Linked DNA regions of Arabidopsis thaliana. The protein of the gene in region 4 binds, or shares a complex with, the protein of the main gene of each other region. Each region holds a gene or a part of one and is shown on either strand. Other genes may lie near its edges.

What was found.
Region 1: Pnsl5 (region 4) and PnsL3 share a complex: the UniProt entries of both Arabidopsis thaliana proteins name them as parts of the chloroplast NDH complex.
Region 2: Pnsl5 (region 4) and NdhM share a complex: the UniProt entries of both Arabidopsis thaliana proteins name them as parts of the chloroplast NDH complex.
Region 3: Pnsl5 (region 4) and PnsB5 share a complex: the UniProt entries of both Arabidopsis thaliana proteins name them as parts of the chloroplast NDH complex.

What each region holds. Positions count from the first base shown.
Region 1 is NC_003074.8:164,478-171,939, forward strand, and holds PnsL3 (PsbQ-like 1), read left to right. Parts: upstream 1-3,930; 5' UTR 3,931-4,000; coding exon 4,001-4,277; intron 4,278-4,421; coding exon 4,422-4,708; intron 4,709-4,831; coding exon 4,832-4,930; 3' UTR 4,931-5,185; downstream 5,186-7,462. Other genes in the region: AT3G01430 (NHL domain protein), read right to left, coding at 1,118-1,660; AT3G01435 (uncharacterized protein), read right to left, coding at 2,376-2,552, 3,241-3,507; AT3G01450 (ARM repeat superfamily protein), read right to left, coding at 5,426-5,713, 5,854-6,048, 6,143-6,275, 6,374-6,480, 6,645-6,902. UniProt on the Arabidopsis thaliana protein: NDH shuttles electrons from NAD(P)H:plastoquinone, via FMN and iron-sulfur (Fe-S) centers, to quinones in the photosynthetic chain and possibly in a chloroplast respiratory chain.
Region 2 is NC_003075.7:17,829,642-17,837,053, forward strand, and holds NdhM (subunit NDH-M of NAD(P)H:plastoquinone dehydrogenase complex), read right to left. Parts: upstream 1,979-7,412; 5' UTR 1,845-1,978; coding exon 1,392-1,844; intron 1,308-1,391; coding exon 1,107-1,307; 3' UTR 892-1,106; downstream 1-891. Other genes in the region: AT4G37920 (endoribonuclease E-like protein), read right to left, coding at 51-316, 493-676; SHM1 (serine transhydroxymethyltransferase 1), read right to left, coding at 2,250-2,398, 2,482-2,592, 2,674-2,785, 2,866-2,943, 3,026-3,091, 3,173-3,277, 3,365-3,562, 3,641-3,733 and 7 more; AGL21 (AGAMOUS-like 21), read right to left, coding at 6,054-6,191, 6,268-6,351, 6,454-6,495, 6,611-6,710, 6,835-6,896, 7,042-7,120. UniProt on the Arabidopsis thaliana protein: NDH shuttles electrons from NAD(P)H:plastoquinone, via FMN and iron-sulfur (Fe-S) centers, to quinones in the photosynthetic chain and possibly in a chloroplast respiratory chain.
Region 3 is NC_003076.8:17,577,764-17,585,838, forward strand, and holds PnsB5 (NAD(P)H dehydrogenase 18), read right to left. Parts: upstream 3,513-8,075; 5' UTR 3,383-3,512; coding exon 3,161-3,382; intron 3,086-3,160; coding exon 3,022-3,085; intron 2,916-3,021; coding exon 2,853-2,915; intron 2,774-2,852; coding exon 2,715-2,773; intron 2,568-2,714; coding exon 2,337-2,567; 3' UTR 2,104-2,336; downstream 1-2,103. Other genes in the region: AT5G43755 (non-LTR retrolelement reverse transcriptase-like protein), read right to left, coding at 5,214-5,464, 5,564-5,797, 5,964-6,009. UniProt on the Arabidopsis thaliana protein: NDH shuttles electrons from NAD(P)H:plastoquinone, via FMN and iron-sulfur (Fe-S) centers, to quinones in the photosynthetic chain and possibly in a chloroplast respiratory chain.
Region 4 is NC_003076.8:4,157,849-4,166,700, forward strand, and holds Pnsl5 (cyclophilin 20-2), read right to left. Parts: upstream 7,076-8,852; 5' UTR 6,873-7,075; coding exon 6,849-6,872; intron 6,756-6,848; coding exon 6,543-6,755; intron 6,399-6,542; coding exon 6,156-6,398; intron 5,573-6,155; coding exon 5,518-5,572; intron 5,324-5,517; coding exon 5,238-5,323; intron 5,025-5,237; coding exon 4,866-5,024; 3' UTR 4,526-4,865; downstream 1-4,525. Other genes in the region: AT5G13100 (Gap junction beta-4 protein), read left to right, coding at 87-204, 296-387; G6PD2 (glucose-6-phosphate dehydrogenase 2), read left to right, coding at 1,104-1,296, 1,481-1,710, 1,823-1,917, 2,054-2,168, 2,261-2,466, 2,605-2,754, 2,846-2,966, 3,044-3,273 and 1 more. UniProt on the Arabidopsis thaliana protein: NDH shuttles electrons from NAD(P)H:plastoquinone, via FMN and iron-sulfur (Fe-S) centers, to quinones in the photosynthetic chain and possibly in a chloroplast respiratory chain.

The DNA.
Region 1 (7,462 bases), on a different chromosome or scaffold from region 4:
AACAATTTGATAACTAAATGTGAAACATCAGCAAATGACAACTATTAAGATGTAGATAAGTCTTGGATTAAATAAAATTTTCACGTGATCGTTTGGGTTAAAATAGCTTCGTTCTTTCACTTAAGATTCAATTGTCATGGTCATTTTATATAAATTGGTCATTTTATATAAAAGTTCGTTTCGGTCATGTCATGCATGTTTCCATGGACTAATTAATATGAAAAAATTGTAAACACCATATGGTCGCGCACACTAGATCTATCACAAGAACTATCAACATTACTTTTCAACCACCAAAAAATTATGATAGCCTACTGCCTTAAGCCTAACGCGATCCAACCAAACGCACCACTAAAAATCCAATTCAAAGACTTGAAACAGGTAAATTACATTCGAGCAATTCTACTCCTCCGAATCTACAAAAGTGGTGAAAGTGCTTGATGATGTCAGTGATTTCCAAATATATATAGAGTCCCTCGAAAAGGTAAACTTTTTCCAAATTCATGATAGGGTAAGATCAAATCAACTACAAGGAAACATACGTGGCAGAAAAAAAGTTCAAAAGAAAAGATAAGATTGTAGTTTGTTTGACAAAGAAATAAAGAGTCGCAAATATGGATGGTTACGGGTAACTACAAAAATCAGAGAAAAATTGATCATATATCATCATGAATTCCATAAAAGGAGAAAGAGGTGGCTACACAAGCGATCCTATAAAAAAACAGATCAACGAGTGATCCTTGTAGTTGTGGAACACTAATTCTTACACGATTTTCGCTAATCCAAATCCTGATAATCTTAGTGTTACACTAATTCTTACACGCTTTACCCTAATCCAAATCCTATGAACCTAATTCCTGATGGTTTGAAAATTTTTACTCCCTATGTTCCTAATTTTTTATTTTTTTCTAGAGTTTTGAAAAAAAAATTGTTTAATTATTTCTATATTTAAATTTTTTCTTGGATGAAAGGTGCTTTTCTTTGTAATTACATTGGTAATGACAGAATAATACTCAATAGTCAATACTAATTTATAAAAAAATATTGGAAGAAGAAACAAAATGCCATCTCATTTTGGTCTCACACACGACAACATAAAAAGTCGAGCGCGTGGCTTTCACTTGTTATCAATGTCGCTATCGAAATCAATTGAGCATTTAGTGGAAACCGGTAAGGAAGGCGCAGCGAATCTCATCGAGTAATCTCGGTACGGGAACTCGTCGTCAAAATGTCCGGTTTGATTTCCGTCATCGAAATTTAACGAGTAGCTCAACTGATCGTACCGGAATTTACCCTGATCCGATGACCGGTTAGGCATTGCACCACCTCCGCATCCTCCGCTGCTGTTTCCGACTCTCCCTCCTCCTCCTCCACAGCAGTTGCTGCGTCCGAACCGGCGGATATACGTCTTCCATCTAGGTCCAGCGACGAGCTCCGACCACTCCCTCATCCTCCGCCACCCTCGGATCCACCATCGCTCGTCGGGTTCGAGTTTGTCGACGGTCGTGATCCGTTGCCACCACACAGATCCGCCGCGAGTTGATGGCTGAGATGAGGCAAGGCAGGGCATGAGGAAACAACAACCTCGCTTCGCGAACAACGCCTCGTGCATATCGTCGGTGGCATCAACTTCAGCGATCGGCGGCGATTGATGACTCATTCTCAGAGAGAAACAGAAACGAAGGAAATATGGAATTTCGTCCTGATCTAGCTACTCTCTTTTGTCTCCTTAGATCGTCGTTCCTCTTCTCATCTCCAACTCTAAACCCTAATTTTCTCCCTCTACCCAAGAGATTTCTATCACCTTCTCCAATCAACGCGTCTCTTGAGCTGTAACTAAAACAGAAGAGCACAAAACGGCGTAACCGCCAACCCGGCAATATTGGTTCTCATTAACCCTTTTTAACCGCTTTGGTTTTATCACATCTAACCGGGAATTTCAGCTGTTGATGCTATTAATTTATTAAACCACATATGAATGAAGGGGTTCATATACGTAATTGACGTTAGCACATTTGGTTCCAAGTATTGATCGATACATTAAACCGCAATAAAATTGGTCCGTTTCTCTCTGGCCCAAAATTGGTTCGATTTCTCCATAAGCTGAAATTGATAACTCCCAGTGGATGTAATGTATCTAATATTCTTGGAACAGATTCATTGCAAGTGAATGTTCTAACCAAAATCACCTAATCTTTTTGCAAAATCTAATATAGTAAGTAGGATAATATCTTACTTTTGCAACAAGCCACTCATTCGTAAAAACCGGACATACTTTAATGGGATAACCTACAAGTCTACAACTCATCTGGAAACTATATCACAACCGATGGTTTAGTATAGTTCTTCAAGTAACCTTTTTATGAATACCAATATCAATCAGAAGAAGGATACCGGTCAGCAGTTTGTTTCAGATCTTCAAGCTGCGTGAGAACATATTCAAGCTTCTGGAAGCAGATCTCATTGGCTATTCTCGCGTTGTAATCGCATTTCTCAAAGGGACGGTACTCGCAAGCGCTTTTGATCTCTTCCCTTAGTGTCACTTGTATATCCTGCAAGTTTCACAAGAACTTCATCTTATTATGGATTGGCGATAACATTATAGCACATTTATGTACAGTCAAAGATCAACAAGTTCATGAACCAGACAATGAAGCTGATATCTTCAAACTTTATGATTATCTCTAGAAAAAAAGCAGAATCAAAAGCTTTTTACTTGTTCACAGAATGTAATGATCCCTAATCTAGACATGTGTCAAATGAGAGCCCAAATGTTCTTTAAACAGTGAGATTCCATCCAATATGAAAATATCAGCATCCATCACTCATAAACCTTAAGCCTAAGAATAAAGGATCAATGTCAAATCCTAAGAAACAGGAAAGGAATACAAACCTAGAGATTGTGATACATGAACCCATATGTTAACTAGTCACAGAAGAATCACAAAACGAGAAGCAGCGGCCATCTTGAAGACTAAAACCAAAATCAAAATTCTAAACAAAGCCCTTAACTTTGATCAGGAAATGTAATGAACCCTAATATAGACTTGTGTCAAATTAGCCCAAACGATCAACACTCGAGAAAAGATACCAATTCCCCAGAGAGATTGAGTCAGCAAGAACACTAATCTAGCTAGACTTGTGTCAAGTGATCCCCAATGTTCTTTGATCAGGTAGTTTATTAATACACTAATGCAAAAGAAATCAGAAAATATTTGAAGAAGAGATAGAGTAAGAAACCTTCATAGATTGCATAAACTCTCGGCAATGGCTGTTGACGAACTCTTTCTTGGGACCAGAAGGGCTCGCGAGTTCTTCCATCACTCCACCAGCTAGTTCCAAAACCTTAACAACTCTCTGCCCGGAAAACCAAAAATAAAAACACAAAAACACATTCACATCAAATCGTCCAATAAAATCTCTAAGGAAAGAGTGAGTTTTCCAAAATTTCACATTCTCAACATTCTGGAGTCGCTGCAACGAAGTGTTCTGCGTCTGCGGATCCATTGGACTCTCCACGATTTCTTTTAGACCAGAGAGAGAGAACTCCAAACTGAGATATATCACAATACCGTCAAATCCACTCATACACATACCCTAAATACTCAAATCGGAGCAGTGGGAGTACCTCAATCGAACACGGCGACGCGAGACAGTGAAGATGGCAGAGACGATGAAATAACACGGAGAATTTCGATTGGAAACGGCGTGCTTATGATCAGCAACGGAGGGAAGATTTTGGGGAATCGGCGACACTCGGCAATACAGATCGGTGAAGGAAAAAGCAAAGAAGATACAAGTTTTTTTTGTCACGTAAAACGGCACGAACTCTACTTTATCAATTCAGGAACAGCGAGTAGTTAAAATATTGAATTACGAAAACACCCCTTGGTTCAGATAAAATCTTTGTGATGGCCGCTTTTCTCATTTATAACGGATAAAAACCGTAAACAATACACAAGAACAGAGGCTGACACCTAAAGCTTACTCTCTAACTGCAATGGCTCACTTCATAGACCTCAACAGTCTCACCAACACTTTACCGTCTCTTCCGAAACTACCCGAGAGTCGTAAAACCGGGAAATCCAGCGGGTTTGCTTGCAGGAGAACTGAAGAATTTCAAGAACCGGATTCGGTACAGATCACAAGACGGATGACATTAGGATTTGCTGTCTCAATAGGTCTTACCGGAATTCTCGGCGAAAATAATGTTTCCTTGGCACAAGACAATGGGTTTTGGATTGATGGTCCTCTTCCAATTCCTCCTATTTACAACAGTAAGCGCCATTTTATATTCTTGATTGTTTTCTTTCTTCAAATGTTTGAACATTTTGAGCCATACAACTATTCAAGATGAGAATTCGATTTGGTAGAATCATTTGATTTCCGGTTTTGAATTCGTCCTCGATTTGAATATACAGATATCGTGAATGAGAAGACGGGAACGAGAACATTCATAAAGAAAGGAGTGTATGTAGCGGATATCGGGACGAAAGGAAGAATGTATAGAGTTAAAAAGAATGCTTTTGATCTCTTGGCAATGGAGGATTTGATCGGACCAGATACTTTAAACTATGTGAAAAAGTACTTGAGGCTTAAATCCACATTTTTGTTTTACGATTTCGACAATCTCATCTCTGCTGCTGCCTCTGAAGACAAGCAACCTCTCACTGATTTAGCCAACAGATTGTTCGACAATTTCGAAAAGGTAAGTGTACTAATGAAGTCCTGGTTCGTTCAAACCGAAGAGACTATTGTTTTTTTAAAATTTCTTCTCTTTTCTGATATATCCTATATGTTTATTTGTTGTTTTCTTGGTGTTTCGACACAGCTTGAAGATGCAGCTAAGACGAAGAACTTAGCAGAGACGGAATCGTGTTATAAAGATACAAAGTTTCTTCTTCAAGAGGTAATGACCAGAATGGCATGATCCTGGTTCGGTTTATACCGGTTTACTTGCTATTGATGATCCTACATGGTTGATAACTCTGTGGTCATAAATTGTAATCTTTGCGGAAAAATATTGAGATCTAGTAATCAAAAAAAAAAAATGTAATGTATAGACCAAAATATGATCAAATTTATAACGAATTGGATTTTAATTTTTCAATCAAAGATACAGAAAGAAGAGTATATGCACTAAATGTTTAATATTGAAATCTTAGTTTTAAGAAAACATTTGGCCAAAAAAAAAAAAAGTTTTAAGAAAACCAATGTAATATAGACTAAAACATGATATATATCAAATAAACCGACTAACTTTTTGCCTAAAACTAACGGTTGAGTCGTTGAGATTTATCTTACCACATCGACATATTCACACACAAAATAAAGAAACAAACCCATAAACCAAAGATAGAGAAACAGTGGTCGTACAACGTTTACTCACAGAGGCTTACAATATCAAACTGAGGGCTTGTGACTGTCATGAACCCGCAACAAGACCCTCTCGAGCCACACCTGCGACATTGGTGACACGTATCACAGCCTGTGCACTAAGAGGTGAGAGGTTTGATTGGCAGAAGATTTGCCAAGTGACTGGCTCTGGATGCTCCTCCTTCGGTTCGACATTAGTAGTTTTCTTGTACACTGTCTGAAGTTCCAGTAAGACTGCCCGTGCAGCCTCCCGAGATTCTGGGAGTTGGTCACTGAGCTGAGACGATGCTGCTTGGACTAGTTTCTCAATTCCATATTCTCTAATGCCTTCAATGCCCTAATGATTACACAGCCAAAGAAAGGTGATGTTGGTGGGAACATGGACTGGATCCAAATTGGTTGTCATGGTGATGACATGACAAATCCAAAACAAAAGAACAAGACTGGTTTTATGATATCGAGTGCAGTTTGATTTACCAGTCGGGGAACACATCGGGAGAAGCACGTGGATGCTTTTGCGCGGATCCGAGGATTCCTATTCTTGAGAAAAGGTTGAAGCTTTGGCAACAGCAAGGCAGGAGAAACATGTGCAGTCATTGCTACTAATGCTTTTTCTGCTGCTTCACAAACAAATCGCTTGTCTTGGGAAGATTTAAGGAGGAGTTGAGTAAGCTGTAAGAAGGGAATTCGGAGTTACTGTTATAAGAACACACAAATGTCCGCTATTTGAGGAGAATTCCAAGAGTATCTGCAAAAGATGATTTACCAAGAGATCCAATTGATCGATTGTATGGTCATTATATGAGCTGAAGATGTCAGCAGATGTCATACATGCGGTTTTACTTACAGCACTTCTTGGGTTCTTCAGTGATTTCACGATAAACAGGATCACTTTCTCCCTGTAAGAGCTGACAGCGTGAGACTAGAAAATTCTCTCGACGTGTAACTCGCTCTACTAAAACTGATCATAATCACGAGTAGAAAGAAAATGACTTACAGCATATGCAGCATTTCTTCCTTGTGGAATATGGAAAGACGACGAATGGTATTAAGAGCATCACAGACCAAAACCCAATCCTTGGAGTCTAGCTCGGTTACAAGTGACTGGAATAATAAAGAAAGCAGTTCCAGAATGGTATTAGGTAAACAACTTACTTCCAATGTCCAAATTCTAAACAGATGAATATAATTGCAAATTTGCAAGGCAGCATTACAAATGAGAATTCACAGTAAAGCATAGGATACTAGCAGGAAAAAACAATTGATACCTTGAGAACTGCATCAACTTGGGTTACATTGTTCAAGTCTTTGGATTCTATATACTCAATTTCTACGATAACTCTCTCTGCCTCAGGTTTCTCAATCTCATCGCCTTTAGGATGATTGTGATCAAAGGGGACAGAGTTTTGTGGTGGTTTATCTTCAGCTGTTCCATTCATTTTGCCAACCAAAAGCTTTGTTTTATAGTCGATATTCCTCTCAGAGACAGGAAGATTCTTCAAATCTTTTAAAGCCTTGGCAGCCATGCGTACCTGAAAAGTAACAAAGAAGACGCCATTATAAGTACAAACAACATAAGTTTAGCATCTGCGATTACAAAACCAAAGATAAGATTATAGATGAATTTTCGACCTCTAGCTTAGTATTAAGTATTCCCAATGAAACCCTTTCAAAGTAGAAATGGTAAGATAAACACATTACTATGAGAGTTCAACAGCAATAACATTAAAGAGCAGAGATCTATCTACATTCCCAAATCTTATTTCAAACAATTACGAAATTTACTCAAAACAAAAGCAAAAAACCTCGATCCCACTCAAGGACTCTAAAAAGTTCAAACAAATCCTCGCAGTCCGAAATCTAACTCCGGCGCCGTAAACTACTGCAACCGCGAAAGATCGAAAACGCAGAAGAATAGAAAAAGTAGCGGCGAGTCAAGCGGTATCGATGACTACTAACTTGAAGAGTAAATAGTGAAGATTATTTGACTCGCGTACCTCTATAAATTCGAAATGCCAGAGAAAATTCAGGGAGAGAAAGAGTCGATGAAGACGACGAAATTGATTTCCGGCCAACAGTTCGCAAC
Region 2 (7,412 bases), on a different chromosome or scaffold from region 4:
TAAACTAACCTGAGTTCACTAATAAACACAAAATACAACACTATAAATACCTTCTTGACTTTACTTTCCAAAGATACCAGTTTCTGCTTCAATATAGGATCAGTTTCGGTATCAGCTCGGATTCTGCAACGCTTATAGAAATTAACACTGTACTTGTTCCATTCATCTCTTAAAACCAAATACGTCTTCCATTGTTTAACTTTAGGTTTCTCATTCAAGAAGAGATCAATAATCTTGTCACAAAACTGAGCCATAGTGTAACCTTCAGCAACCTCAACTTCCATTGGATCCTCAACAGAGCTTTTTACTTCCGCACCTAAACACAAAATTTCTATCTTCAATAAAAAAAGCTTCTCTAACTAGACGAATCCTAGTCTATGAAAAGGGTTTAGCTTATCTAATGGTGACAATTAATACAAATTGGAATCTAAAGAAATAGAATTTATTGGTAATTAGACAGAAAGATTAGAGATTTAGGGTTTATGAGCTTACTTGTAGTGCCATTGTAAGTGACAGTGTCGGTAGCAAAGGTGATAGTTGAGCTTTTGCGTATCTTTCTTCCTCCATTGATGAAAGCAGAGAAAGGGAGATGATGGGTTTGAGAATTCTTAGGCGGGAAAGACAGTAATTTATCAGCAGAGGAGAAAAAGATTGATGTTTCCAGTAAATTCGCCATTTTTTCTCCCTCACAAAGTTCGTCTTGGTGACGAACAACGAGAAACACCAGAGGATAAGAAGAACAGGGTTTTAATTGTAAATAATTAGTAAACGTTGACAAATTCAAAAACTTAATATAACTTTTTGGGTAAAAATGTTAAAACTAACAAGTTTTGCATCAGTTTGAAATCTTTTTAAAAAGAGGCAAGGAGTAAGGAACATGAATGAGCAAGACCAGAATTGAGTTTCTTTGACATTACATATTCACATGACCTTAAGACCTTACATTAACAAGAAAAGACAAAGAAACTTAAGATTGATTATTACAAAAATAATTATAGCATATGTCATGATATATACATATGTTACTTTGTGATAGACAAAATTAAAAAGCATACTACAATATATTTATATTCCCATTACATGATTATAAAATAGAGTTTGTTTCACTAAGCGTCCTCTTGAGGCTGACCATCTCCACCACCTTCAATGTTACTGGTATTGAATTGTACACGAGGCTTTCCCATACTGAAATTAAGAACTCTTGCATCCATATTGTATTGTATTTCTCCATCGAACAACATCTTCCTTATGTAATGTTCTACGTCCGATCCTATCAATCTCAATGTGTACTCCGTTAATGGTGCTCCCTGTTCAAAAACAATATTATAAGGTCTTCTTGAAATGAGTCTAACTTTTAGATGAATGTTTCGTTCGTTTATTGTTATCGTTACCTCGTAGTGATCGACGAGTTCTTGGAAATAAGAATAGACCTTGTTACAGCTTTCATCATCCCACACAAATTCTTCAGTAGGATCAAGAATCAAAGTGAGTTTATCCATTTGTGACTGGTCAAACTCACAAGTCTCTGGATCAATATAAGCAGCGTAGATCCTAACGTGACGTGTGACACTGCTTAGCCACTGACCACCAAAATCGCCCATACCCTTGCTCTTCACGTTCAGCTGTTTCTCCACTGGTCTCAATGGTGTTGGCTGCTTCTTCATCTTCTCTGTTGATTGCTCTTCTTTGAGTGTCTCTGTTTCTTGTACTTCAAGAGTACTGTCTTGTTCCGGATTTGTCACCACGAACGCCTTTTGTGTTGTTCTTGGTCGGATTTGAGCAACCATAGAAGGATGTAATAGAGAAAGCTTGGTGCAGGCAGTGTAAGAGAATGCTGCAACCATTTTTCTGTCTAAGAAATGAAAAAAAAAAAACAGAACAAGTTTTGAGATGTTGTCCGGTTACAGAACCATATTCTTGTAAAGAGATTTGATGAGGTTGAGAAATGACCACAGCTTGTGGATGAGCCTCTCCCAACTTCTAGTTTCTTATTTATCCCTTTCTCGTTTTGTTGGTATTTTGTGGTTACTCTTAAGTCACTTGTGAGCTAAAGACAATCTTCTTTAGGGAATTCACTGTTTTGTTGTATGTGTTTTTTTTGTCTAAGTATATTTCTTTTTGATGTATAGAGAGAAAATTTAACAGATCATTATTTTTCGCATAGCGTGAAAATAGAGTTTTACATGTATCATCTATACATTCCATGGGAATTCAAAGCATAACAGAAAACACTTGTGGGGTGAAACAGTTTAGTTCTTGTACTTCATGGTTTCTTTCTCAAACCCAATTGTTGGGAACTGCTTAGCGAATTCCTCGACTTCATGGCGCAGTTTCGCAATCTCGGATTGGATGGTTGAAGAGGATTCCATTGCTGACACGAAATCCTTCAACTTGGTTCCTGGTTTTAGAAACATAACAAATGAGTTCAATCATTGTATATAAGAACGGAAAGCATAGCATCGTGATCAGAGAAGTAAAAACCTTGAGCTTCAGATTTGACTTTGAGAGCTATTGTCACAGCTTTGTCGAAGTATTCAGCTACTTTGGCAAAGTCTTCCTCAACAAAGCCTCTGGAAGTGAGAGCAGGAGTACCTGAAAATAACAATGGCAGAGGATATCAAGAAGAACTCCATTCGAATACCAAAAAGAAAAATGGTTAAATGTGATTTTTACCCATTCTGATTCCACCAGGAACCATGGCAGAAACATCTCCAGGAACAGTGTTTTTGTTGGATGCAATGTGAACAGCTTCCAACACTTTCTCAACTCTAGATCCATCAATTCCCTGCAAACAAAATCGAATAAAAAATGAGTTTTAACTAAGAAATATAAAAGAAGATTATATACAAAAAAAGATCAAGTGACCTTGGGCTTTAGATTCACTAGAACCAGATGGTTGTCAGTTCCACCAGAAACAAGTTCATATCCTCTCTCCATTAGAGTCTGCACGAAACAACAATGTAGAGATATAATCAAAGTAGATACTACGCCATATGTGTTTTTCTTTCCTTCACGGGATTAGTACCTGAGCAAACTTTGCACTGTTACTCAGGACTTGTTCTTGGTATGCTTTGTACTCTGAAGTAGTTGCCTGCATTTTCAAACCATTTGAAGGTTACAGAAACCGCAAATCCAATAAGCAACGTTAGTTCCATTCCGTGCCTCACCGTACCTGTTTCAAAGCAACAGCTAGTCCTGTGATAGTGTGGTTGTGTGGACCACCTTGAAGACCAGGGAAGACAGCTTGGTTGATCTTGTCTTCAAAATCATACAAAACCTTTCAAGACAACAAATGAATGACGTGAAAGATTATACATAAATCTAAAACATTTTGGTTCAAATTTTGCTTCTTTTTCTTTTTTACCTCTTTCCCTTGCTTGTTAATTTCCTTAACACCCTTTCTGAAGAAAATCATGGCTCCACGGGGTCCACGAAGTGACTTGTGAGTTGTGGTGGTTACAACATCAGCATAGTCGAACGGTGAAGGGATTACATTAGCAGCAACCAAACCACTGATGTGTGCCATATCTGCTAGCATTACAGCTTTTTGCTTGTTACAGACCTGGGAAAAGAGTTCGAATCAAAACTCACTACTGATTACAATAATCTGTTCTGTAGTTGGATATGAGACTGAAATTACCTTTCTGATGCGGGCATAGTCATACAATCTAGCATAAGCACTTGCACCAGCAACAATCAATTTTGGCCTGAAAAGAGTAGCACTTTTCTCCATCTGCAAATCAAAATTAAAGACTTATGTATTGTTATGAAGCGGGTTAGTTATAAGTTACTATGATTGCTTAATAGAAGAGTTAAGAACCTGATCGTAGTCGATGTAGCCAGTGCTCTCGTCCAATCTATAGGGCATTGTTTCAAAGAAGATAGACACAGCTGATATCTTCTTGGTGTCAGTCTGATGAGAAATAAGAAGAAAGAAACTGTTATTCATCAGAGTCAGAGAGTTCCGAAATGACATACAAAGTTAACTTGAAGGCACCTGATAACCATGAGAAAGATGACCACCATGAGGAAGATCAAGTGCCATGATTCTTTCATGAGGCTTTAACAATGCAGTGTACACATGGAAGTTGGCAGGAGATCCAGACAAAGGTTGAACATTCACTGTAAGATCCAGTCAAATAAGCCATCAAAGGACTAATCAGATTTCTTGTTTCTCATATACATGAAAGTAGTAATTTACCTCCCCACTTTTCAGGATCTAACCGGAAAGCTTCAAGAGCGCGCTTCTGGCATAAGGTTTCTGCCATGTCTATATACCTACAAAGCAAAAGGTACTTGAGATTTCAATTCTTATTACAGAGATTGGTCAAGCAATCATGTCCTGAAACTAAATGTGTCAGATTGAAAATTCCTGAACATACTCATTTCCTCCATAGTATCTGGCACCAGGATAGCCTTCACTGTATTTGTTAGTCATGACAGACCCAACAGCTTGCATCACCGACACAGATGTGAAGTTCTCAGATGGAATAAGTTCAAGTCCCTATAATAACACAAGCGTTACAAACATCAGCCTAACTTATAATAATCAATCAAGGAACAAGATTTAAGAGATAGTAATCTCAGAGACAAACTAACCTTCCATTGTCTAGCTTTCTCATGCTCAATAATGTCAGCAATCTCAGGATCAACCTCCTCTAAAGGTGCGTTAAGCTGTTTTGGCCACTGAAACGAACGTTTACAAAGACATAAGTTTCATTAGATTCAGTCACACCAAAAATAGAACTCCATACATCAATTTGAAACAGACATAGAACTTCAACAATCAAAACCATTGCTTCAACCACAAGGAAAACTATAAACAAACAAGAGATACAAAAAGGCGCTTAAACTCACAGTGACACGAGATCTTTCCTTCTCATCAACAGCTTCACTGGGCAAAGAAGACTGCAACGGAACAAACAGAAATCAGAAAAAAAAAAAAAAAAAATCGAAAATTTCCAATCCGATTATAAAATTCGGAGATAAAAGGAAGAAACTTTAGGGTTGTTACCATGTAACATGAAGTGGATCGAATAAGAGGACGAATGGGTTTGTCAATTGAAGAAGAAAGCCTTCGAAGAGCCATGGCCATCGCCATTTTTCGCTAAACCTCTCTCTATCTCTGGTTTGTGAAACCCTAGAAACAGATTTGAAACATGAACGAGAGAGAAGAGAGAACAAAAATAACAAAATTGGGTTTATCTTGTTTGAGAGAATTGTGGCCTCTGCTTTTGGCTGAGCTTTTGGTGGTTGCAGCAAATTTTCGAATTTTTTCCCTCTTTTTTTATTTATATTTTCTTCTGATTTTTATTTTATATTTGTTGTTTCTTTGTCGTTATCTCTCAGGTCCCTGTCTACACCAACCTTTGTGAATTGTGATGATTTGGTGACGACGATGATTTGTTTCCCTTTAAGACAGAACCTTTATTGGTTTCTGGTCAGTGCAGTCAACGATAACCGATTCAGTTATCACACATCAATTTAATTTATATAGTTTCCAAACCGGTTAGTTTGGGGGAATAAGATTAACAGAATTATGGTGAATTTACAAAATAAAACCAACAAAACAAAAAACTTAACAGAAAATGTTTATTTAACATTTTAGAATTACCAAGTGCATGGTTATATATATTAAACAAATTATTGATCTAAGAATATTGATATTTGAGAGAGTTTTGAGGATAATAATTCATATGATTTTTCTCTATTAATTGACGAATCTATGGTTATAAACAAGTACAATATTAATACTCAAGATGAGTATAACAACACCGGATTTTAATTATATATGCTTTAATTATATTTAGGATTGAAAATATGACTATGTTAGAAGAACCATGCTGCTTATCGTACGTGGCTTGGTGTATAGAGGTTTCCAGTTCAAGAACCTTATTCAAACCAAGGCCTTTGGAGTGTTCTTCAACATCATGGTATCTTCCAACTTCAATCTGTGAAAGTTTTTAACGAGTTACATAAAATATATAAAATGCCTAAATGGTGCATGCATGTTTGTGAAACATCAAGATCAATTAAAAAAGTTTACCTCTCTGTTATTCGTTTGCTCTTGGTGGAGTGTCATAATCGGAATGTTCAGGCTGGCTTAGTTGCAGCCGAATCTGAGTGTGTGATTCATCATCCGCAACAGCTACTTCACGGTGTGTAAACCCGTTTGTGTTTGCCATATAAGCCTGAAAGTCGAAGCCATATCACTTCGAAGCTCTTACTCCAAAGAAAATGGAGTTTTTGTAAAACATGATTTGTTACCTTCTTGTAGAGCTCCACATTTTCTTGATGAATCCGTTGTACTTTCCTAGATAAATCGAGGTTTTCCTGATGAATAAGATTCCTCTGCACCACGATCAACAAAAATCCCAAAATTAGAATTGTAACTTTTGGTAGGGGATATTTGTGTGTGTCAGTGTGTGTATATATATATCTCATCATAGTGACCTTTTGGCTTAGTTCTTGGATTTCTTGAGTCAACAGTTGTTCCTGTGAATCCGGAAAAGCAATCGTTCTATTGATTTCCGTTGTGTTCTATAGTCAATCTTTTGAGTAATACACTCCAAAGCATATAATAGAAGGTAGAGTATATGTATTTATGTACCTTTCTCATACGAATTCCACGCAAACTTATCTCAATTTGATTCTCAAGACTGTTTAGCTCGTTAACACTTAAACCATTTAGCTGTTCTCCCATCATTTGCCTGCTTCATAGCAAACATACCGCAATCCATAACTACAAGTTTCTTCATTTCCTTTACATGCCTTCTATATTTTGATCAAAGACTAATTCTTAATACAAAATGTTATAAAAGTTCAAGGCGATACCGATGATTTTCTTGCAAAGCATGCAGTTCTTGTCTTAGAACAGCAGCTTCTCTCTGCCAAAACTGTAACACACAACACAAATAACTCATCAAACTTTGAACAGCTCAGTAAACCAAAATCTCATTTCAAAAATCAAACATCATGCTAAAGCATCAATCAATATATAATCACATATCTTTAGAGTTGTCGCTATATCTATATGTATACCTTGACTTCTGATGCGGGGTTCAATAGTTGTTGTTGCTCGATCTTGCTCTTGTTGTATCTATCAATAACCGACTTCATGCTATTCAAAATATTTAATATTAGTATACCTTGTTCATGGTATATAATTCACTCATATCATATCATCTCTTAGAGTAAATTACGTAAAAGATATTAATTTTCGATCGTGAAGTTTTTCCAAGTACTCCATTAAAAAGCTTTCATACGTAAAGAAAAAACTCATAGCCTAGAAATTTGTGCAATATAGACTTTCCTGCATTGGCAACATTATTTACACACGCTTATATATGTACACATACATACATTTCACATAATGTATATAATCTTGAACTCAGCAGTAATACGAATTTGTT
Region 3 (8,075 bases), about 13 Mb from region 4:
CTCTCTCATTCACCCCCTCTTAATTAGCCAATCAAAAATTACCATATAATATATTTAAACAAATTAAAACAATTAATCTCCCTAAATATATAAAAAGCTTAATTCATTAAAACCACTAAATTGAATTCATTGTAAATTTAAATCTTAACCATTCTTTTATAAATCCAAACTGACATAGAATTTTCTTTAATTGTAAAAAATTAAAGTCTAACCATTCTTTTATAAATCCAAACCGACTTATAATTTTGTTTAATTATAAAATCAAAACCCTAAACCTCCATTTTATAAATCCAAACCGACAGATAATTTTGTTTAACTGTAAAATTTAAACTCTAAATACTCTTCTATAATACCAAACCGAGATATAATTTTGTTTAACTATAAAATCTAAACCTTAAACCTCATTTTTATAAACCCAAACCAACATATAATTTATTTTTATTGTAAAATCTAAACCTTAAATGTTTTTTATAAACCCAAAACGACATATAATGTTGTTTAATTGTAAAATCTAAAATCAAACTCTTAGTTATAAACACAAACCGATATTTAATTTTCTTTAATTAAAAGTATACACATTTTGTTTCTTTAATTTGTTCCTTTTTCATGTTAATTTTTATTTATTTTAAAATATAGTATGAAATGTTTTGATTGACTAATTAAAATAGGATGAATAAGAGAATATTATAGTAAGAGGGTTTATCTATGTTTAAAATCATATATATGAAAGTTGACCAACTCTCTCCATATGAATGACACATTATCACACAAGAAAATGACATGTGTCATTCGATATTTTTAAAACTAAAAATTAATAAAATTAAATAAACAAATTAAATGTATCATCAATCCTACTCTTGATTGATTTTTTTAAAATAAAAATAAAAAACAAAAAAATATGTTAATAAATTAAGCACTACTTTCATTATATTCTTTTTATTTATATTTTTTTAGCAATAATCACTACTCTATAATGACTAAATTTTTTTTATAGCAATAATCACTACTCTATAAGACCTACCAAATAATTTAATACGCGATCATTTCTCTTATATGGATATATGCAATGACAGAAGATCTAAAAGTATTGACTTAAATGATACTTTCATTTTTGCTTTCTTTTTATTTTTTCATATGAATACTCTTGAAATCTTGTTCAATTTATATTAATTCTATATATTTAATCATGAGCCTATAACAATGTTGTTGGAGTATTATATCAGGGAATACATAAACCAAAAATAGTTTATTTATAATCAAGTTAGACAATTTTCAAATCATGCAAAACACGATCATTTTTCTAATATTGATATATGCAATGACAGAAGATCTAAAAGTGTTGACTTAAATGACATTTAGTTTTTGCTATCTTTTTATTTTCTTCATACCCCTTTTTCATACGAATACTCTTCAGATCTTGTTCAGTTGAAGTCAATCAAAACTTTAATCATGAGCTTATCACAATGTTGTTGAAGTACATAAAACAAAGAATTGATTTATTTATAATCGAGTAAGATAAATTTTAAACCACACAAGTAACATGGTTACACATAATTGTATCAAAATATCATATATTGTTGTTATATGTATTTTTGATAGTGAACAAATATTAACATCTTATAAATAGCTTTATACATGAAAATTAGAAATTGATATTTCGAGTTACAAATGAATCTAACCATAAAAATTGTAAATAATATGGATCTAATTTCATTAACAATACAAAAATAAACATAAATTAGCAAAACTAACAATCAATCTAAATATTTTTTAACAATTTTCAAAACAAACCCACGCGTAGCGTGGGTACTCATCTAGTATCATAGTAAAAACTGGTATGGAACTTACGAATAGTTTGCACAATATTAAAGAAAGTGTCAGAGATACGTTAAAGCATTTTCTTGTAGAGAGACTAGGGATTAGGAGTGGAGCTGGTTTGTCACTTGATGTTCCAACTCGATAGAACTCGAAGGTGTGTTTAGCTCCTCGGACTCTTCCACAATACTGGAACACTATATTGTTGTGTTTGGACCAGGGGATGAAGTTAGCGTGTGGCATACGTCAACCTCAAATTGTATGGTTTATCCACCATTGTATGAACTAATGATGGGTATGGAAACTCGTTGGGTCCATACGAGGTACTTAGATCTTAAAAAAACATATAGTGAAGAACAGAAACCTAACACTACAAGATGAGAATCTAGGTTTTATGGTACTAAAGAAAAATAAGAGAATGAACAATCAATATTATACACATTGTACCCCGTTCATTCATCAATTTTATAAAACAGTTTACATCAAAAGTCATGATTATAACGAGATCACAATCCATTATCTTATCGTGTGGCGATATCATCTTTCTCAATGGTGAAATCCCATACATCACCATATTTGTCATTAAAGTCCCAAATGCTCATTGTGTTGTAGTCATTAATGAGCTTGTCACGAGCTCCTCTCTCCAATTTGTATATCTGAGGCTCGAAGTTGTGTGGCTGGTCAGGTTTATCCATCTCTATTATACAGAACACTACCGTGAATAACGCTGCACCTATGAACAAGTACTCACCCTGCAACACACACACACAAACACTGGTGATTCTTTTTCTTCTCATACTTGGCTTAATTATCTAATCTCTTGTACGTCCTCCACAAAACAAAAGCGATAAAACTAGTAATGATAAATTTTGGAAGCAAGCAAAAGATTTTGAAGTTACCGGAGCATCAAAATACATCCCAAGAGCTATAGCAGGAAGAAACATACAAGAGATCAAACCTGCAGACATAAAAAAACCGCGAGTTTTCAATCAATCTGCGGTACATAAAAAGCACTAAAAAGCGGGTTAAATTCATACCTTGAAACCCATTAGTTTGATCCACAGCAGCAATGTCATCAGCAATTGCTCCCCAAAATGTTCCTAAGAAACATTTCCAAGAAGACTAATCAATCAATCAAACAAAGAAATATTATAGCTCTAAAATCGAAACAGCGACAAGAATCAATAGGAGAAACCAAAATTATACCCTTTTGAACTTCTCCTTCATAGTAAGTATGAGCTCCATCGTAATATCCATACTTGAAATCTTCCTATTAACAAAAGCGCTAACCAATCAGAAACAACTTTCAGCAGAATTATGAATTTAAAATCAATTGAATCTTTACCATTTCAATGCTATTAGTCTCGAATTGACCAATCGGGTCTTCGTTGATGTCTGGTTCGATCTGTGACAATCCAGCCGCTGAGACCAGCTTCGCTAACTTCAATCTCCGGCCGGATTTGCCGCATTTTACGACATTGACGATCTGATCAGAAACCCTAGCTCCGAATTTGGAATCAGTGACCTTTGGAATCGATTTGGGTGAGAGAATCGTGACCGTTGCCATTTTTTCACTCACTTTATCTTTTTCTTGCTCTGTCTCAGAGTTTTGGAGCCATAGAAAGAAAAAACGGTTCTTTTTTTTTTTGTGTGTTCGTTAGCGAAAGAGATTAGTAGTTTACTGGTTACTGTCTGTCATATTACCAAAGTGACTGACAAGTTCGTAAGCGTCACGTGGAACGTATTCATTTGATTGTCTTCTCTAGTTGGTTAGTGAACGCTTACATCGCGTGAAGACTATTGAAACGGCCCAACTTTGTCTTTGCTGAAATCAACAATATATATTAAGCCCAATTTGATTTACGTGACAATTGCTTAATTATTAAATTCAACCCAATATTTTCCTATATCCAGTTAAATGTAAAATTCAGTTCAGGTTAAACATCATAATACTTTGCATATTTTTAATAAGGAAAAAGCAAAACAAAAAAATAATGTATTAGCCGATTTATCGAATGCCTAAACAAGAAAGATCAATAACATTCTATGGACCAATTTGTTGAATCGTACAAAATGGTTTTGTTTGTCTAGACGCCTAAACAACCTGTTTTTAGAACTTTGTAAAGGATCTATGTAGTTGGCTTTGCTATGTTCGAATTAGTAACAAGGTCAAGGCACTTCATTGATTTAGGAGACAATGACATAAGAATCATAAAGAAATGATTCCCAACTGCAACTAATAAAGGCTGGAGTGGTTGGAGAGTAGGGTAAATTAAATGCTTTGCTCTTTCTTTGATTAATGGTTACCAATATCATGTCATGTTCTAGGGTAAAATTATTATAAACCAATTTCTCTATCATTTTACTAATGAATAGAATATCAATTTATCTCAACTACTTAGAATCAAATCTCACCCAAATTTAAACGCAACAAATATAAATTAAGATTTGGGGTTTAGGTGGATGGATTGCTACGAAGTACAAACATTTTTGATGTGGAAACTAGAATAACAAATAAAAGTCGGCCAAATTTTCAACGACAAATACATTAATGTTTTAATTTATGGACTATTGCGGTTAGGTACTTGTTATCCACTTATCTTCTTAATTCATCGAAGATATTAGCTTAATGATTTGTAATCCATGTGACATGCACTTACACATGTAGTGTTTATTGAATTATTATTATTTTTTTGTTGAAAGGTTTAGTGTCTAATGAAATGCAAATATATATTTGATTCCGATAGTTGAAATCAACACTAGTTAAGCTCCTTTTTTCTTCAATATTATCTATAGAAAATATGTACCATAATTTGCTTGAAGAATTTGAGATATCTTACCGATATAACTAAAGGTGCAGAGAGATTAAAAATCATAATTCATTTTGGAAATATTTTTTTTCTAAAGAACTCATTTTGGAACACACTTTTCTACCAACTACGAAAAAAAATTCAAACTGGTTTTGTTTATTTAAGATTTAAGAATGACTTGAAAAGGTAGAATTTGTAAAACCAATGAAGAAGAAAGAATTGTGGAGTGGTAGAGAATGGTTTCTTCAAACTTCTAAGAATAATTGTTGAACGTAATTGCTTCGTTTGGTAGGAATTTTCTTAGCAATTAGAATCAGTTCTATGTTATATAACAAACATATATTTTTGCATTACTTACCACACAAACTCTCCCCAAATTGTGTGTTGACACATACCAAATGATGATATAAATACAAAACTTATCACGCACGCGTTAAAGATTCACACGCATGTTATTGACTTGTGAAAATCTCACAAGTAGTTAGTACACATGAAACGATAGTTTAGTTTTGGGTTATGAACTTATGATATGAGTTAATGGCATCATTTTTTTTTTTTTTTTTTTAACACGAACTTCATTTTTATTACTTAGGAAACGTAGTCTGAAAACAGAGCATTTGAGATACACAATGGGATAAAGCTATGAACTATGTATGAAGACAGAGCATGTTTCTGGTTTTTCGCTAAAATATCAGCAGGTTGATTTGTTGATCTGTGTGACCACGTGAACTTGATTGCGTCAAACTTATTTCTCCAAACTTTGATTTCATGGATCCAATTGATAGCATCAAATCTTGAGCCTCTTCCATTCAGAACATTGACTAGGAGCTTGCAGTCGCCTTCAAGTATTACTTTTCTAAAGCCTCTTATCCATAATTGTTGCATGGTAAGAATTAGGCTTTGACATTCTGCTTCAAAGGCTGAGGAAACGGTCGCACCTGTCGCTTGAGCAGCCCCTTTGAACACGCCGTTATCATCTCTAATTATCCAAGCTGCCGTAGAGCCACGAACTCGATTCACAAAGCTGCCATCGTAATTACACTTAATCCATCCCATATGTGGTTTTTGCCACTGACTCTGAAACTGCCTAGTTGTGCCATTAGTCGTACTCGGAGTGGGAACTTGCGCACATAAGCCATTTGTGATCCATTCTTCCGCTTCATTTGTAGCATCTCTGATATCTCTCCACCAATCGTTCTGTTTTCGTTGGAACACTAGCTTATTACGGCTTTTCCATATTCTCCAAAGGATCGAGATAGGTAGCTGCCCTTGCATTGTATGTTGTCCTGCATTTTTATGAAATTCATAAATCTCTTTAATTTTTGTTTCATAATGCACCTGGGGATTTGATAGACTCGGAAGGGGAATGTTCGAAGCTCTCCATATTTGGCGAGCGTGTGGACACGTAAAGAACAAATGATCCGTAGTTTCTCTCGTTATGACACATCTACGACAAAAACTATCTGTGACGATTCTTCGGCTTTCAAGTTCAGAGTTGGTAGAATGGCATCATTTCTTATTTTCTTGATAATGACACAAAGTTTTCTTGTCTACAACATCATTTTAAGAAAATTAAACGTTTTTCACCAAAGCCGCGGGAATAAAATCATGAAGAATGGTTAGAACGTGGTATTTAAAGATGAGACCAGACCAAAGCAAGTCAATACAAAGTCAAATAGAACTCGATCGGAAACGATTATCAAATTTTGGATTTCTTTTTTTGGGGCAAATTTTGGTGTTTTGAACTGTATTTTTAATTGTTTGTTATGATTTCATATACAAATTAGTTTTAGATAGAATAATGAAAATATTTAAGTGAATACTATGTTGTAAAGTGTAAATAATAGACTTTTATAAGCCTTTTAACGAAAAAAGAATGTAAAAAATAAAATATAGACTTTTGTTTATGAAATTACAACCTCTTTGATAATGATATAACATATGTGAAAATGCAATGTTTTTCTTGATTCGTTTGGTCAAAAAGGAAAAATCAAGTGTGAATTAGTTTCTGATGAGGTTCAATAGTTTTTTTTGTATTATCTTAAAATTTATTCACAATAAATATAGTAGTAGGCGATAAAGAAAGTGCAATGTTTTTCCTTTGACTACATTTAAGTTATAGATTATTTTATGATGAGCAAAATCCTCAATCTTATATCTAATTGGTTTTTCTGAAAATATCCACCACAACTCAAACTTCTTCTTTGTTTGCAGCTGCAATGTCAACCGGTATTAATATAGAAGAGTGACAGAGAATGTATGATTCTCTATCTGCAAAATGGTTTTGAATTGGGACTGTGCCGGTCGATGATTCCGCTCATCATCTAGTCGCGGGTTTTGAAATGGGACTCTTTATAATTGATATCCAACTGTATAAAAATCTTGAACATCCTTAATTTGAAACATAAAAAATATGACATTAACTATCTGATTAATTTTCACTTAAGGGATGGTTAGTTAAGTTACATTGGATTAAAAATGGTATTAGTAGACCAATTAGAACATGTATGCCATTTTTTGTTTACAAAAACCTTTTTAAGTGGTATTTATAAGACTTGCTCAATTTCATTCAAAAGAACATGAAATGGATGGACTAGTTTTAATGGCAATAACCCACACAATTACTCATATTTGGTTCAACAAACTTCTATTTCGGTTCACTTATTAATTTTCCATCTATATATGAATCATATAATATGATTAATTTACACAAGTTCACACGGCCACGTAAAATGTAACTGTCTTCAAGTTGTGCACATAAAGAGGGTAGTTTCGAAGATAACGGGTCAACGAAAGGGTAAAAGAGTAAATTGCATAGAACGCGGCCAAATTAAAAGCCCCCAATTGGGATAAAAGTCATCGCCGTCTCTTAGGTGTCAAATCTCAACTGTCTAAAAACATTAAAAGCTTCGTTGGGGTAGTTGCATCTTCCCTCTCTAATACAAAACTTATTTTATCCAGTTTTAGTTTCGATTTTTCATTTGTTAACATGTTTTCATTTTTCTTTTAATGTTAATAGCCTTTTTATTTGGAAAATGAAAACAATTTCACAATTTAATTCTAAATTACCATTTCTAAAAAATAGAAATAATATAAATAATAATATTGAATAATACATGGACTAAAAAATTATAGTACTGTCCTAAACAAAATTGCTTGACTAGATTGAACAGAAAATGTTTTTGATGTCTTACTAGTTTGAACAATTTATTTGCTAACATTATTCTCTTTGTATATTTCTTAAAAACCCATATTTTTTCCTTAAATATTTCCCATTTCCCCTAACTACATTCAATAGCTAAGTCTCTCTCTCCCTCTCTCTTTCTCTCTCACTCAAAAATTTCCCATTAAATTCTCAAATTTTCTCCAACTTTTTAGGCCATTCTCTTTTCTCCTCTCTCTCTCTCTCACACAACACAAACAACTCTTGAGAGAGAGAAACAAATCTTT
Region 4 (8,852 bases):
ATCTGATGTAACAAGTTTGTTACTTTGGTTGTGTTTTTTTTTCCCAAATGACATCTAAGTAAAGTTGTGAAATGTTGGTGTTATAGGTGCAAGCGCATGGATCAGATGGGATGGTAGAGGAAGAGAACTGTGTGTTCTTTCTTCCTCACAAACCAAGAAGTGAAGTTCTTGAAGTCCCAGTCTTTCTATTCATGAAAGGCACTGGTAAATAACTAAACACCATTTGATAAAAAGTCTTCAAATCTATCTCATATTTTTGGACTTGGTAATTACTAAACTCATCTCACTGGTTCAGGTTGGTGTGGTGGTGGAGCAGACCATTACGAGCCCTTGATAGCGAATCCATCTCCTCTGATATCTCATGAGAAAGTCGCCCTCGTTCTCTGAATTTTGGAGCTTCTTCAAAATCACAGTTTTTGGTAGTTTTTTGTTATTGTATTGGTAGAGAGAATCAATCATGTTAGGGAGGAGAGAGAGATGAAATTCGCTCAGGTTATTATTAGCCTGCGAGTTTGAGCTGTTTTTTTTATCAATTGTTGTAGTTTGAGAAGAAGAGTATTTGATTTTTTGTTCGTTATTGGGGATGAAAACGGGAAATTCTCTTTGTCTGTTTCAGAGTTGTGGCTGTAATGTAAAAGAGTGTAAACTCATAAGTTTTGTTTGAAATGAAAAGTTCTCAGAACAGAGCAAAATCTTCAGCTTCCAACTAAATTTGCATCAACCATAATGATCATCTACGAAAGTAGCTAAATAGAGAAAGAAAGAAAGCATCTTTGAGAAAACGTATATTCGGAGATGTCTCTGTTATGAAAAAAAAAGAAAGAGAAAGAGAAAGCAAAAAGGTCCACTTGAGGTATTGGTTGAATTGAATATTATTTTTGTGTGCAGACGGGCTTCACGTAGCCATACCAGCACACCAGTGAGCATTTTAATTTAGACAACAAAAGACTTAACCTTTGGGAGATCTCAAAAGGTTCTCTTATTTGCAGTATCGCCCCTTAAATCCTTTTTCGATGTTTCTTATGTTCATCATTATTTTTTAACTAAAAATCTCATCTTTAGACAACAATTCAATTTGCCATCTCTCTGTTGTATCTTTGACGATGGCGGCTTTGTCTTCCTCCGTCACCACCCGATCATATCATTCCGGTTATTTGGCTTCTTTCTCACCGGTTAACGGTGACCGACATCGATCACTCTCGTTCCTGTCTGCTTCTCCTCAAGGATTGAATCCTCTTGACCTCTGTGTTAGATTCCAGAGGAAGTCTGGTCGTGCTTCTGTCTTTATGCAAGATGGTTAGTTTCATTCTATCTTTGTTTTCCGGATTAGAATTGACCAAATCTAAAACCAAGCTTATTTATTAACTGCACTTGAATCTCTGAATACAATTTCATTAGGCAATTAGGTGTCTATGTGAATTAAATGTGATATTGATATCAGTAGAAGAGGGGTTGTTCTGACATTTGGATTGGGTGTTAGGTGCAATAGTCACTAATTCAAATTCATCAGAGAGTAAAACTTCTCTTAAGGGATTGAAAGATGAGGTGCTATCAGCTTTATCTCAAGAAGCAGCCAAGGTTGGAGTAGAATCTGATGGTCAAAGCCAGTCAACAGTTAGTATTACGGTGGTTGGAGCCTCTGGTGATCTTGCTAAGAAGAAGATTTTCCCGGCTCTTTTCGCCCTTTACTATGAAGGTTGTCTCCCTGAGGTATTGCCAAGAAGATGGTTTTCTTCTCTATGATTTGCTATTTTGATCGCCTGTGTGTGTGTTTTGCACATTAAAGTCTAGTGATTGACAATTTGATTTTGTTGTGTGGCAGCATTTTACAATATTTGGATATTCTAGGAGTAAGATGACAGATGTTGAACTTAGAAACATGGTCAGCAAAACCCTCACTTGCAGAATTGATAAGAGGTTAGCAATTGTAGCTACTGAAAAGTTTCCGGTTTTTGTTTGTCAAGACAAGTCTTTATGCTTCAATTCAGTTGGATATGGGTTTTTGAAGATAATTAACTCTGAGTATTATGTCATTGTTCCATTTGGATTTCAGGGCAAACTGTGGTGAAAAGATGGAAGAATTTCTCAAGAGATGTTTTTACCATTCTGGTCAGTATGATTCTCAGGAACATTTTACTGAATTGGATAAGAAGCTCAAGGAACATGAGGTATTGAACATTTGTTCTCTTCAAATCAGTAAACTAGAAAATTGGAGTCTACTTCTTTTACATAGTGGTTCTTATCCTTTGTATTTCTGTAGGCTGGAAGAATCTCAAACCGCCTCTTTTATTTGTCTATCCCTCCAAATATATTTGTAGATGCTGTGAAATGTGCAAGCACTTCTGCTTCATCTGTCAATGGATGGACTAGGGTTATCGTCGAGAAACCTTTTGGTCGAGATTCTGAAACCTCGGCTGCTTTAACGAAATCCCTCAAGCAGTATTTGGAGGAAGATCAAATTTTTAGGTGAAAGATAAATGCACTTATAGCTTTGTTTTGTTGCAATGATAATACTATTGGATGCTTGGCTGATATGATATTTTGTTGCAATGATGATACTATTGGTTGCTTGGCTGATATGATAATGAAAATGTGTTCTTACAGGATAGACCATTACCTAGGAAAGGAGCTAGTCGAGAACTTATCTGTTCTTCGATTCTCAAACCTTATATTTGAGCCGCTATGGTCAAGGCAGTACATAAGGAACGTGCAATTTATATTTTCTGAGGATTTCGGCACTGAAGGACGTGGAGGGTAAAGTGCCTGTTTACCATTATCTAGCTATTCATGTCTCTTCTGTATTGAAAGCTTATGTTTCCTTCCTGTTCTCTTTTGCTTAATTCAGGTACTTTGACAATTACGGAATAATAAGAGATATAATGCAGAATCATCTGCTTCAAATCTTAGCCCTCTTTGCCATGGAAACGCCTGTTAGTTTGGATGCAGAGGATATCAGAAATGAAAAGGTATGATAATTTCTTTCACTTTGCAATTTGGGTTTGATTCAAGAAAACATATAATGAAAGTCTCATGCACAATTCAGGTTAAGGTGTTACGTTCAATGAGGCCAATTCGAGTTGAAGATGTGGTAATAGGACAATACAAGAGCCACACAAAGGGAGGAGTCACATATCCTGCCTACACCGATGATAAAACTGTACCAAAAGGTAGTCTGACTCCAACATTTGCAGCTGCTGCTCTTTTCATCGACAATGCAAGATGGGACGGTGTGCCCTTTTTAATGAAAGCGGGCAAAGCACTACACACCAGGAGGTAGGTACCTAGAACTTCGCACTTGTGGAATTTTGTATATTGACTCTTACTGATAAGTAAAATTACAGTGCAGAGATAAGGGTGCAGTTCAGGCATGTTCCGGGGAATTTGTATAACCGGAATACTGGTTCTGATCTTGATCAAGCTACAAATGAGCTTGTGATCCGTGTCCAACCAGATGAAGCAATCTATTTGAAAATCAACAACAAGGTCCCTGGTTTAGGAATGAGATTAGATCGCAGTAACTTGAATCTTCTATACTCAGCAAGGTATTCAAAGGAGATACCAGATGCATATGAGAGGCTTCTGTTAGATGCAATAGAAGGAGAAAGAAGATTGTTCATAAGAAGTGACGAGCTTGATGCAGCTTGGTCGCTATTCACTCCATTGCTTAAAGAGATTGAAGAGAAGAAGAGAATCCCTGAGTACTATCCTTATGGTAGCCGTGGTCCTGTTGGTGCTCATTATCTAGCTGCTAAACACAAGGTGCAATGGGGTGACGTCAGTATTGACCAGTAAAACATTTTCTTGTTTGTATTCTCTTTTTTTTACATTGATAATAGATTTATCTAGGATTCAAGCTTTTTCTACGCCTCTTTTTACAGCTTTAATTTGTGCAATTTGGTTATGTACCATTTAATAAATAAATAAACCAAAGGGGTTTCTCTTATTCTCTACAAGGAAAATGTCTTCTTTTTATGGTGTGCTCTTCTAGTATTCAGAGATATCTTGTATCTAGAAAAGGTTGACCAAAAAGAAAGAACACTAAAATACAAACATGTGATAGGTACAAGTAATTATATTGTTCATTAATCTGAAAGCAGACTTTATATACAAATTGATCGGATACATGTTCAACAAGTCCGCTGTAGCACACATGCCAATTTCACAACAGAATTTGAAATCCGGGCTCAAACCTCGGCAGCGTAATACTTTTTGGTTCAATTAGTTAGTTTTCAATAAGATATCAGACTTTAAATACAAATCACTCATATACAAAACCAAAAAGTCCGCTGTAGCACACAGGCCAATTTCACTACTCAATATGAAATCCGGGATCAAACCCCGGCAGCGGAATACTTATTATTTTAATTAGTATTGTTTTCAATAAGATATCAGACTTTAAAAACAAATCCCTCGTATATAAATCAAACAAGTCCGCTGTAGCACACAGGCCAATTTCACTACTCAAAATGAAATCCGGGATCAAATCCGGGCAGCGGAATATTTTTTGTTTCAATTGTTGTTCTTACTTTTTTATGAAGAGATCGGACTTTAAATACAAATTGCTCGTATACCAAACCAACAAATCCGCTGTATTACACAGACCAATTTCACAACTGCATCGACTACTCTTGAATCTTCAGATTTTGTATCTTAGTAATGCAACTGAACCGCTATAACACAATGGTTAATTTCGAAACAAACCAATGAAATGAAATATGAGTTCAACACCCGGCAGCGGAATACTATTTCTTTCTTAAATTTTTGGAAGAAGGGGATACAAATCCATTACACAAAAGAAAGGGTTGTAAAATGCAAAAACAAGCTCCATCTCATGTCTACAAGATTTTGGTTAAATGATCTTACTTTTAAGCTTCAGACATTGGAAGTTGACCACAGTCTGCTATCACCACTTTCTTTCTGGGACGGTCTCCTCTGTCTGTCTCTTGTTCCTCTATCAGCTTCACCACTTCCATTCCTTCTATTACTTGCCCGAACACCACATGTCTTCCGTCCAACCATGACGTCTGTCCACATCGTTATCGCATATTAATTTGATATACACTAAATTTCCCAACAAAGCTTGGATGGTTCTTCGTTTCCAATTTCAAAACTCTACTCTTTAGGTTATATTATTGGATTCTATATACTGTAATACCTGTGTTCTTTATTGTTGATGCTCGCTTGCCTACGTATAACTTCTAATTTAACAATAGGCCTTAACCAGAGGGAGATTTTACCTTAATAGTGCAGATAAAGAACTGACTTCCATTTGTATTAGGGCCAGCATTTGCCATACTTAGAACTCCTGGTCCGACATGGGATACTGCAGCGTATAGCACATTATTACTTTCATGAATTTTATAAAACTGAAGGTTTGGTATATATTATACTCAGCTCAGCTAAAAAGAGAATGCAGAAATGTTTAGTTAAAATGCATTACCACTGATAAATATGAATGCTAAAGCACAGCTGGGGAGAATGAAGAAGAAGGAAACAAGTGAAAAAGGATAGACTTACACTTGAAATTCTCATCCTTGAATGTACGGCCATATACACTTTTACCTCCAGTTCCCTGCTCAACAATTAGACTTCTGTATCATTATTATGGAATTCTCCTAGCAGTTACTAGAAGAATCTTCGGTAACTGAGATGGGCAGAAACAGAAAATAACAATATATTTCTACCGAGCTACAGCTAGTTGCATACCCACGAACCAGTATATAAGTTCCCTACAGCCCAGGTATTATCTATATAGAAAAGAACAAAAGTCTAAGATTAACAGGGGTTGTTCTTCTAAAGCCACTGATCTACAAATCAGAGAGCCAGCTATCAGAAAGATTGTCTGTAGAAAGCTCTCCAAAGGTCAGGCTTTTTCCTATTAATGTACCCAAACATGTGCTTTCAAGAGCGACTCTAAATCCGTACAAGTAAGAACTTAAGCATCCTTCCTTATCGAGAAAGATTTGACTTATACTATGTACCACATCCAAGAAATTAATAAACATCCTGCCATCCTGATATGAGACAGCTTACTTTACTTTGTGATTTGGCAGAAAATAAGATGAACCAAAGTAAATCAAAAGAAACATAATATGGACCGCAAGTCAGCTAACAAGAAACTGGTGCTGCCAAGGAATTCAGCCAGAAAAACTCACATTGCCCTTCTCAAAGTCTCCTCCCTGAATCATGAAATCTCTGATGACACGATGGAATGTAGAACCCTTGTAGCCAAATCCCTTTTCACCTGTGCATAGAGCACGAAAGTTCTCCACAGTTTGGGGAACATCATCACCATACAATCCAATAACAATCCTCCCAGCTAACTTCCCCACTGGATTGCCAACACTTATATCGAAATACACCTTGTGTGTTATTTTCGATTGCGGTTCAGTAACCACCTGGAATACAAAATCCACATCATATTATGATTCCATAGCTTTTAGTAAATCTAATGGAAAAAAAAAACTAAGAGTAAGCTGAATAAAACAACCAATTCCATCAAATGACATCAGTGACTAACAAGATATGAGAGAATCCCTAACCTCAGCATTGGATTGAACAGAGAAACAGCGGTGGTTTCTTTTGGTATAAGACGTGTGAAGGAGGAGCGATGAGGCGGAGAAGGGAGTTGAAGACGAGAACGAGATTGAATCGAAGGAAGATTTGGTGCGCAATCGGAAAGAGGTAGATGTGAAAGCGGAGGTATTGATCGGAGAAAGTCTTCGTGGAGGAGCTGAGAGCGACTTCGGATTTGACTATGATGATAACCGAAAATTAGAGCAGGAGAAGCAGAAGAAGCGGAAAGGTAAAACAAAATCAAAAGTACAAAAGGGAAAAATTAAACGCACCAGAGTCATCGACAAGGTCGCCATTGGAGCTCAAAACTCTTGCTCGCGTTTGTTGGCAAAAATGGTAGGTGAAGGTGAAGGTGACGATGAGCGAGTGATAGCACGAAAGAGTCTGAGAAATACATTCCATGGTTATTTACAGTTATGCCCCTGCCGGTTACGTGGCTTCGCATCGAGTCAATTTTGAGTGGGTCAGGTCAGCCGATCCTATGAAGCATATTTACCTGTGCAAAGTGCAAACAAAGAAAAACTCATCGTATCAAAATGACACTAATCTCATAAACTAAAATACAAACCTACTATAAGAAAATAGTGTGTTCACTATTTCTGATATTTATTTAATATAAGAAAATAAAACCATAAATACAAATCAAAAATATTTTTTCAAAACAAAATATGCATCGCGCGGAAATTAACCGAGTCATATAAAAAAATTATAAATTAATACAGTTATAAGATTATATGTTGTCATTCATTACGGAAATAGAAGGTAGAGTTGATCTTGGGCTCAAGCAAGTAAAAGGCATCAACAATATTTATATAGTAGTAAACGACATCAATTTTTTTGTACCATGTATAATTTAACGGTTAAACGAAATATAGTTCAGTGTTAATTCCGTATAACATGAATTGGTAACATGCTCAATTCTCAAGACTGATTATTTGCAATTTTTTTAAAAAAATTGGGCTTTAAGCTTTTTAAAAAAAATCTAACTTCATGTTTTAATCCATATTATTGATACAAATTTTCTCTTAAAATTAGTATTTATATGGTAAAATTTTGAAAACATATTGGAAATTTCTTAGAAGTTACAAAAGTTTAGTGACAATATGACGAAATTTTTCGATGAACAGTTCTAAAAAACAACAAAATTGTGTAAATCTAAAGAATATTTATTTCAAAAAGGGAGAAAAAGAGGGAATGTCATTTGTTACTAAACAAAATGTAATAAAGTTATAGTAGAGAGGCTTTAGAGCAAGTTAAAACTAATTAAACCTTGTATCTGAGACCAACTCCAACGGCAGCCTCTAAGGGGCTTTTGAGGGTTGGTCCCTTGAATTATATAGCCCAAAATAAATTAGAAATCAGTTTAATTGAGAGGGTTGTTTCTCTCTTACGGTATTTTTCAAACAACAAAGGGACCCTACATGGCAAACTTCTATTGGTGGAGAGGGAAGAGAAGGAAAAATATGACCCAATTTTTTTCTTTTCATTTCGGTTGAATTGTTTTCATTTCGTTATTTCCATTTACGATGGCGATGTCAATGTTGATGAAAGATGATATGTGTCGAGCTCCTCATCATAGGGCGTAATAATCAAATCAAAGACTAAATTGAAAAAAATCGTTTGGTGCATCTAAATTCATACTACCAGAATCAACCATCTCTTCACAAGTTATTTTAACTACTCTACAGATATGTCTTCAAATCTCGGTAATTTTATGGTCTCTCGTGCTCGAGTTCGTGATCGGGCTATGCATCAACAATTGAAAGGTGATTTGGTTGAGCATATATAACACAAATTTGGTGGGAATCAAACTAACTACTAATTGTTATTCCGATTCTCAATATTCATTTCTTGTAGGTTTAAAATTTTAGTATTTGTATTAATTATTAAATTTTATAAAATAGAATATTTATAATTTTCATTTTAATAATATTTTTTACTATAAGAAACTCACTAAAAATTTCTACCATTAAACCAAGAAAAATTAAGAGACCAACAAAATCTCTTAAATTCAAATCTCAAATTTTAAAATTAAAAAAATTGGAAAAAACCTATTAAAAGTTTAACCATTAGGGTTGCTCTAATAACACAGATGGGCCTGTGAGTTACGAAATTGGGGCCGGGAAGCTGGACGGTTTTATTTGTAAGTCGCGCCACTCACTTTTCTATAAAGACGCTCCCACTACTTGAAGAGTCTGTGTGTCGTGCGTGTCTCACGTCTCTCTCTCCTCTCTCCCACTTCAAGCTGCTTCAAAACCCTAGAAGCTTCTACTGCA